Linked DNA regions of Tribolium castaneum. The main gene of each other region encodes a partner of the protein of the gene in region 2 in a complex. Links are inferred from orthologs where the notes say so. Each region holds a gene or a part of one and is shown on either strand. Other genes may lie near its edges.

The links.
Region 1: the proteins of Dcr-1 (region 2) and RISC-loading complex subunit tarbp2 are in contact, whole or in part, in a cryo-EM structure (PDB 8DGJ), measured with the Drosophila melanogaster proteins. The link is inferred for Tribolium castaneum from reciprocal best matches to the Drosophila melanogaster genes Dcr-1 and loqs. Residues at the interface, in NP_524453.1 of Drosophila melanogaster: His245, Phe248, Asp251, His252, Arg253, Asp255, Glu258, Ile259, His303, Tyr306, Gln307, Glu310, Lys311, Lys313, Arg320, Leu323, Cys326, Leu327, Ser329, Thr330, Ile333, Gln334, Tyr336, Ser337, Leu338, Glu340, His341; in NP_609646.1 of Drosophila melanogaster: Thr358, Gln359, His360, Ser361, Lys363, Val364, Phe367, His368, Lys372, Ile414, Glu415, Glu416, Lys417, Thr418, Phe419, Gln422, Gln424, Pro433, Val434, Gly435, Val436, His438, Ser440, Asn454, Tyr458, Ile461, Met462, Lys464, Lys465.

Annotation. Positions count from the first base shown.
Region 1 is NC_087395.1:26,693,518-26,697,778, reverse strand, and holds the start of RISC-loading complex subunit tarbp2, read right to left. Parts: upstream 2,993-4,261; 5' UTR 2,848-2,992; intron 2,554-2,847; exon of another isoform or gene 2,546-2,553; 5' UTR 2,475-2,545; coding exon 2,448-2,474; intron 2,331-2,447; coding exon 2,190-2,330; intron 2,135-2,189; coding exon 1,848-2,134; intron 941-1,847; coding exon 640-940; intron 425-639; coding exon 275-424; intron 207-274; coding exon 1-206. Other genes in the region: GATOR2 complex protein WDR24, read left to right, coding at 4,194-4,261.
Region 2 is NC_087403.1:8,547,189-8,551,489, forward strand, and holds the start of Dcr-1 (endoribonuclease Dcr-1), read right to left. Parts: upstream 3,061-4,301; 5' UTR 2,937-3,060; intron 2,876-2,936; 5' UTR 2,845-2,875; coding exon 1,576-2,844; intron 438-1,575; coding exon 1-437. UniProt on the Drosophila melanogaster protein: Endoribonuclease which functions in microRNA- (miRNA) gene silencing and, independently of its ribonuclease III activity, also acts in the short interfering RNA- (siRNA) gene silencing pathway.

The DNA.
Region 1 (4,261 bases), on a different chromosome or scaffold from region 2:
GCAGCCGCTGATTGCGCTTCCTTCGGTGTCGCTCCGGCACCGTAACACACCGCTACCGGTAATGTAGAAAGCTGTACTAAGCACTGACTTTTGCCAGATAGTGCTTTCTCCTCTATATCGACATAAGTTACTTCAAATTGTTGCTCGGACGCAATTTCATGCAAAAACTGAATGAAGTTGAAGTCTTTGCTGTTGAGAACTATGTTCTGGAAACGATTTATACAAATGTAAAAACGATACAATTTTCGCATTTTTGCTAAATCAAGTAGTTTACCTGCAACTCCTTTAGCTTCGGCCCATTGGACTGCTTGAGGGCTTTGTGAAACTGTGACACCTTTTGGGTGTGTTGTATGTTGAGTGTCGGTATTTTACTATCTTTCAGACCACTGTAGCGTCCTTGTAAGTTACACATTTTCGCCGCCAACTACAAAATACGTCATTGAATTGAGACAGATTTGCTCGGGATTATTTTTACGAATTTTATTCATTTCAATTTTGTACAGCGCGCTCTGAAAGATCGTAAAAATACCTCAGCAAGATCCAATTTTTTATTAACAATAAGCAAACACAAAAAGCATCCATGTCTGAAGAAGGAAAGCCAAACGAAAAAACTAAACTAAATCAACAGAAACGTCTTACCTCTTCATCGTCGTCGTAACCTTGCGGCAGATTATTGCCCTCTAGAGGCATATCTTGCAGGGCCTGCCACATTTTGTGTGCTGCCATTCTTTTAGCTAATTTTTTTGACTTGCCAGTACCGACTTCTTTGAATTTTAACACTTGACAAGCTATCGTGAACTGGCGTTCGTGTGGAAGACCTTCCTCATGTTCCATCTCATAGGACGGTGGAGGCCATCTCCGAGACATGCACATCTCCTGGAGCCAACCGATAGGGTTCCCCATAACTTTATCATCAAACGGAGACACCACTTGAGCTGTACTGAATACAATATTTCAAATGTTAGACGTTGCGATTTATTGGCCGTACGGATACCTAAAAATTAGGATACGACACGACGTACAAATAAATTCTCCTTTCGTTTTCTTTAACAGCAGTAAATTTAATTTGGCAGTATTTATATAACGCAAAAAAAATGGGAGTTTACGTAAAATACGTAAAGAAATTTTCAAATTTTACGTAAATAAATTTTTTTGCAAATATTTGCTTTGATTTACATAATAACCGTATAAGTATATTAATTATTGCGATTTAAATTTGCGTTTTTTGTTAAAGAATAAATTTTGTCAAATAATGAAACATTAGGAAAAATACAAACTGTATCGACAACAAGAAAGAAATTTTCTTAAATGAGACAAGTTTTCATTTAACAAATCGGCCAATATGTGGAACAAATCAACAGAAAAAGGACAATAACTCTATTAAAAAATTCCAACTTTTTCATTAACGTTTTTTTATAAAGATTTTTGTTAAATAGTAAGTAAGCTAAATCGATCAAAATCAGCCAAAGAAAATGTAAATTTAAAAACATACTCTTGTGATGTTCTTCAATGAGTTCATAAAATTCTCTTACAATATGCGACTTTTCTTTGCAAAGTCATGTGTATGTGTGTGTGTGTGTATGTGTGTGATTTGTAAGTTCATCAAAATATAGCCTTATTTTCGTATCAATTTTAAACTAAACCTCAAGTAGTTCACAGACTAATCTAACTATATTTCATAAACTTCTCGAAAATAGTAAAATGTGCAACAATAAAGGAAAGAATATGTTTTTTAGCTCCATTTTATGTTTGATTGAATCACCAGCAATAGATATCCAAAAAAAAAATTGAAATTCGTTTCGCCTCCTAATATTTAGTTTTCCGTAGTTATATGCTGATTTATTTACATATCGTTGGCTCCGGGAGTCCCGTTAGAAGCGTTGGCTTGTTCTGGACTCTGTTTGCCGACCAAAACATCAAGCAGATTCTTCGCAGCAGCGTGTTTGGCGTCTTTTTTCGACCTCCCTGTTCCAGTAGCAACCAAATCGTTATTAATAAACACCCTGTAGCGGAATATAGGTTCGTGAATAGCCCCCTCGATTTGGACTAGTTCGTACTTAGGCGTCGCCCCACGACGACTTAATAACTCCTGAAGTACTGAAACAGGAGTTTTGGTCGGCAACGACGCCATCTCCTAAAACTCAGTTAGTATCAAAAAAAAATTATAATAATAATTAGAAAAATCGCACCAATTTAGCCTCTTCGCTCAGAGACAAGCGTTCAGCCTGCATTCCGTGTAAAGTATTTCTGTTGTTTTTCCTCCTAGGATGGACGTTGTGTATTTGACTTGAGGAATGCAGAAGCGTCATATTTGGGTCCATGCGAAATTGCTGAAAAGAAAAATCGTTGCAAGGTTTGACAATTGGAAAACTGGCGCGAATAAAAAACCGACCATCACCACGAGAATAAAGGCATAACAAATCCTCGATTTTTTTAAATTTCTTTACCTGTTCAACTGGCGGAGGTACAAACATCTCGCCGCTTGTCGGCCCTTAATTTCCGCTTCCCGTACTGAAGAAAACGAGCAAATTATATTCCATTCGCCCTACACAACTCAAAGATTTTAAATCAACAACACAAAAGAAAAGAGAGAGAAACTGGTAACGGTTTCAACAAAGCGACCCCTTCGCATTCACACCCCTAAAGCAACGGTCAAAATTTTTAACTAAAACTATTAGTTTCGGTACTTAAAATACAAATTTACTCCAAATTTTTTTGTTATTATAATTTTTGTAAAAAGAGCCGGTAAAGAAGGTTCATAAATATTCCACTAACAACCCATAATTCGCAATAGACAACACAACTCTATTGTAGCAAAATTATATGTAAAACAGTAAAATTACTTACAATTATTTAGAATTTTTTATTACACTTTGAAATACAATCGTCGCTATAAACACTGTAATGGCGACGTTTTTTGATGGACACAAACGTCAAATGGTTAAACAGTTCGCATGCGAAGAAGTAACATTCTACAGTAGCGCCACTTAGCGGGAATTCGTTGCTACCAACTTTTGTTCTTTTTAGAAATCCATAAACGACGAAAAATGTGGTTACCAACATGAATTTTGGTCATTTCACTATTTTTTAATATTTGCAAGATAATAATAATAAATTTGATCCAAAAACAATAATTTTTACTTTTTACTGATGTATTTTATTTACAATTACACATCTCTTAACATCCTCTTGTCAAAGTAATCACAAATCGCCCAATTTTCCGCTTGAAAACTATTTAAAAATGTGTAATTTTAAAATTGTCATATTCTTAGCCTATTTACGACCAACTAGACTGTAAAAAAATCACACAAGATCCTCATTTCTGACCAAGATGCGTTTACGAACGCTTGTTTTGGTATTTGTATTTTTGTTAACATTCTCTCCAAGCTCTGAAATTATCTTCGACAGTTTCATTGCTACAAATGGTAAGAAAACTTAATAAAAAAGTTACTGTATACTATTGTGTAATTCTTCTAATTTAAAATTTTAGAAATGGAAGGAGCGCGTAAAAAGAAAAAAGGAGGTGGCAGCAAATACACTGTACCACTTCTTTTCGGAGCTTTAATGATCAAATCTATTATTTTTCCGTTAGCTTTTAAAACTATGGCCGTAATGTCAAGCATTGCAATACTTTTAAGTACTATGAGTTTAATTATGTCATCAATCGTGGGATACATCAGAATGGGACTTAAGTCTGCCCCTGTTAAAGTTGTTCATAAACAACCACCATCGCCCTTCAATAATTGGGCCAAAGATGATGATGGTAAAAATTATTACACACTCGGAGATAATTATAATTATGATTTGGTGGCACCACCACCCAGATAAGTAAAAAATATGTTATGTAACATTTATTTAACCCAAATAAAATGTTTTAATAACAATCACTTTTTCCCTTCTGATTATTAAAATGTACTGCTTCTCTGTTGTATTGTATGGCTATAACTGGTAATTGTTTGGAAGCTACTGATTTCTAGGAAACGTGAAACGTCAGACTTGACGTTTTTAGGTTATTCCTTTTAACCTCGCATTTTTTTGTTAAATATAAAAAAATGACTAAAAACTATTTCTTTATAATAAAAAATGACTAAGTAAACGCGTGACTGAACGTAGTAATTATAAATTAAACTTTATCAGTGTCAAATTTATAAATCGCTGGATTTTATCAAAGAAGTGTCAAGAATATGTAAACAATGGCTACATTTCACGTTTTGCAAGAAGGTCCTGTAAATGCTTTAGCCTTAAATAGAGACAATACTCA
Region 2 (4,301 bases):
TGCAGAGACGAAGCATCAGCAACCAGCTCCTCATTCTTATCAGGTTCCAAACTGTAACACCTCTTCAATAGCGTATTCTCAACTTCGTTGTACTCGGCTAAATTCTCAACAAAATCGCTAACTTCGTTCTCGTTCGCTAGCAAAAGAAAATGAGCTTCGTTTGCGCGCGCTCGCGCTTTACTATGAATGTAGCTATGGAACGACTGAGGTAAATCGAAACGTATCACTAAATTACATTTAGGAAGATCACAGCCTTGTTCTAACGCCGACGTTGCTATCATTATATTGCATTCGTGACTTCTGTACTTCCGCAAAACTTCCTCCTGCCTTTTATGCTCGGATTCCGCCTCCCGAGGCTCGCGCACCGGATCTGCGATCTTATTCACGGAGAACGAAACCGACACCCACCAATACTCCTCGTCGCTCTTTGACATCACCTGACACAATGCAAACAATCAGCGGGCAAACCATCAATTTCTAAGGCTGAGGGGACCAGCTTAGTATCGCAAGATTTTGCCCAAAGAATAGAAGCTCGAGTTCAAACCATGAAGTCAAGCAGATAAATATAAACAAAAATAGCATTAGACTATTAAAGATAAACTAGACTTGCGTTGCTTCTTCTTTTCAAAAGAAAAGAATTTCTTAGCAAAAGTGAGAGAAGTAAATGCTTCACGTTTAAAGGAAAAATAAAATCACTTCAAACTTATGCAGTTCTCTAAATACTCTAGTGTTTTTTGTAAATATATCCACTTGAGCTTGGCAACTAAATATATAAACGCTAAGAAATTTAACACCAAAATTGACTATCATTAACAAGAAAAAAAAACATTACTCACTGCTGAAATTCTCAATTCTCAAAAACGAGTAATAAATAACCAAGAGATCTTTCACAAAGACTGTCTCAAAAGTACGCTTAAATTTGCTAATGGTATGATACATGTTTGTAAACGGTGTGGGTTTGAGTTCATGAACACCATCAAATATATTTTGCAAAAACATTTATTACCACCGACTGAAAAATTATACAAAAAAATTATGCTTCTTGTCACACAGCAAAACATTTGAAATACCTAATGATTCGGTAATTCTCACATTAATGTTATGTCTTGGTCAGCAAACAGGCCTGATTTAAATATGTCTTGTGTCTTTTTGGCACAAAATGAAAAATTATCTTAAAAATCTTCCACAGTGGTGAAAGATTTAAAAAATAAAATAGAACACATTTGCAACAAAAAACGCTAAAATTCTGTGACAGATCATTAAAAGTATGCCAGTGGGAAGTCGTGACCTCATTAAACCCCCAAAAAAAATAAATCACGAACTACTAGAAAGTTTTTCCTTTTTTTAGTCCAAACAATTAGTTGTCAGATATTTTTCCTGTTTTAATTTTGTGTTAAACATCAAGGGCTTTAAAGTAGTTTTTAAACAGATCATAAGTTACAAAATAAACGTACTTCTTCAATTTATGATTTTAGTGTTAGTTCTGTGGCAAAACCTTGCGACAGGCAGCATTAAAACACGATGGCACTTTAGGGCAACCCCTTAGCCTTACAGGAACACGTCTGCTTTACTTACACACAGTAGGGCGAAGAGGGCCTCCGCCTTGTAGCGATTTTTGACGAAAACGAGTGCGCAGAGCATCTCGTCGCTTTGCGCGCGCGAGATGTACGGCCTTCGGGGCCCTTTGTAGTTTTTCCCTTTTCCCTTCTTGGGGTCTTTGAGGTCTGGTAGTTTGTCGCAAGTTTCCGGCTTATCACCGGTCGGTTTAAACTGCTTTAGAACTTGGAGAAATCTGAGTACTTTCGGCGTTGAGAAACGAAACACCTTTTCCTTATCTGTGTAGTCTTGGAATTCGAGTTCGCAGAGAGCCCTTATCGAAACTAATACTGATGAAGCAACGCATAACAATAAATAATGTCTTTCGTAAGGAACTTTGACTTTGAGCTTCTCGATCTTGATAAGCATGCCATAGGCGGCTCTGTCGGCCGACCAGGGCCCCAAATCGTCCAGAATTTCGAGGAAGTCGTCGAAGAAGCTCAAAGGCTGTTCCTTGGGGTCTGGGACTTGCTTGAATTCCTCGAGCAAGTCATCGTCGTAGATTTCGCTCGGATCGTAGCGGTGGTCCTTGAGGAAATCCTGACAGGAGGTTATAGTGGCCTTGATTTTGTCCTGCAAAGGGCTTGGAATGGGTTTAAAGCACTCGACTATGCGTTCGCGCGGCCGACAAGATAAGCGTATCAGCGTGAGAATTTCACTAGAAGTGTCTACCGAGGAACTAAGTAATTTTTCTAAGCGTTGTAATTCGGCTTCTAGACGATCGGGTTGCATCTCGGAGCCCAAAAGACCGGCAGTCAGGCCCAAAATTCGAGGTCTGGGCGCTTGAATCGCCTGATACCGGGCCATAATTTCCCTAACTAACGACTGTTGCCCCCCGTATAAGCAGTCTATCACGATTAGAGCGTAACTGTCCAAATGAACGAAGTTCTTCTTACATAGAAGCACACAGACTTCGGCTGTGGTCACAATCACATTGCTTGCCTTCAACGACGGGGGGTTTTCCTCTTTATCTATGCTCGTAACGGTCAGATCGGTCAGCAGCTTCACGTGCGACGTCATTATCGGGACGTTCGGGCCGTCCAGCACGAATAAAGCCTGCTTTCCGTGGGGCACCCGCATCTTGTGGGAGAACTCTTGCAGCAGTTTTATTGTTATAAACGCTTTCGCCGAACTCGCACTCGAACATACGATTGTATTACGCTTCTTAGCGCTGTCCAGCAGCTCCACTTGATACTCTCGTGGGGTAAACGTGTGCGTGTAAACATTTTCGTTTAAATAACAAGCCATGTAGGGGTGCTGTACACAACGGAGGACTTATCTAAGCATTTTTCGTTGCTATTATTGCTGATTATGATTGAACTAACTTAGAGACGTCTCACCACCAACGGGATACATCTTTTCTCACTTGGAATATACAAATTATCACAAAAATACCAGTTTAGATTCAAACAACACCACACAGACCGAGCGGGTTTTGACAGTTGACAGCGTTTTGACAATCACTCCAAAAAAATTGAATGTCGGTGAAGAGCATGGTTCAAAAATGGTGCTGGCACCATCAATATTACAGTCGACCAGACAATTTATTTCCCCACCATTCTCGTTTTCTGCAGCCAATTCACACCAGAAAATTTATCAAAATAATCGTAAATCATTATAAAAACATCAATAAGCTGTTACGCTGACTTGCATATCACATTTGTAGAAAATCTCCTGACCATTATAATGTGTTTCTATTACAAATTAAAACTTAACTGTATTTAATTTCTGCATTTTTTATTCTCATATTCAAGCAATGCAAACTGATTTTTTTTCACCCCCTTTATATTCTGCAATTTTCTTTATCTTTGTAAAAGAAGAGTCCTTCGATAGGGCCTTCGACTGTAAAAATGGATTTTTAAAGATTCTTAAAGATTTTCCGATGTCGCAAACTTTTTTTTTCATCTACTTTATATTATGTAATTTTCCTTATTTTTACAGGAGATTATTTTGCAGGAGACTGTAAAAAAATCATGTTCGGACAAACACCCTTGGGACCTTAACAATTTTTTTTAATTTTTATAAAGTTCCTCTATTTTGCAAACTTTATTTTCTTCACCCACTTTATATCCTGCAATTTTCTTTATTTTTGCAGGAAATTAAGCTCTTCGATAGGGCCTTCGACTGTAAAAAAATCATAAAGTACCCCTTGGAACTTTAATGAATTTTTAAAGATTCTTTAAAATTTCCCGATTTCGCAAACTTTATCTTTAAAAATTCATTACAGTGTTCAGAATGGCCCCCAAAAGGCGAATCAATTATTACAGGAAAGGAGGGAAATAGTAAAAATAATGAATACTTTTGCAAAATGCTTTTATAGAAAAGTTGTTGTACTTATATTTTATTATGTGGTAATGAGTGATAAACACTTTTTTTGGTAGATAGAAAGCGTGCCTAACTGCTTAAATAAGCTTTTTAGCACACTCGTATTTTGAAGTTCTCGAATTTCAAAAAATAAAAGTGTTTTTTCTGCGGCTTGACTTTGCTTTAATTCTGTGTCTTCAAAGTAGAATTCTTAGATGGGGAAACTATGTACATTTTTTTTTCTTGATCCGTTAATGTGTAGAATAGTCGAAATATGTTTAGTCGTCAGCAATGAATCTGGCATTTAAAGACACCGTTCACAATTTATTAATGTTTATACACAACTTTATTCAACACATTTTAATTGCTATTAGAAATGATTTTTTTTTTATTTGACAGTT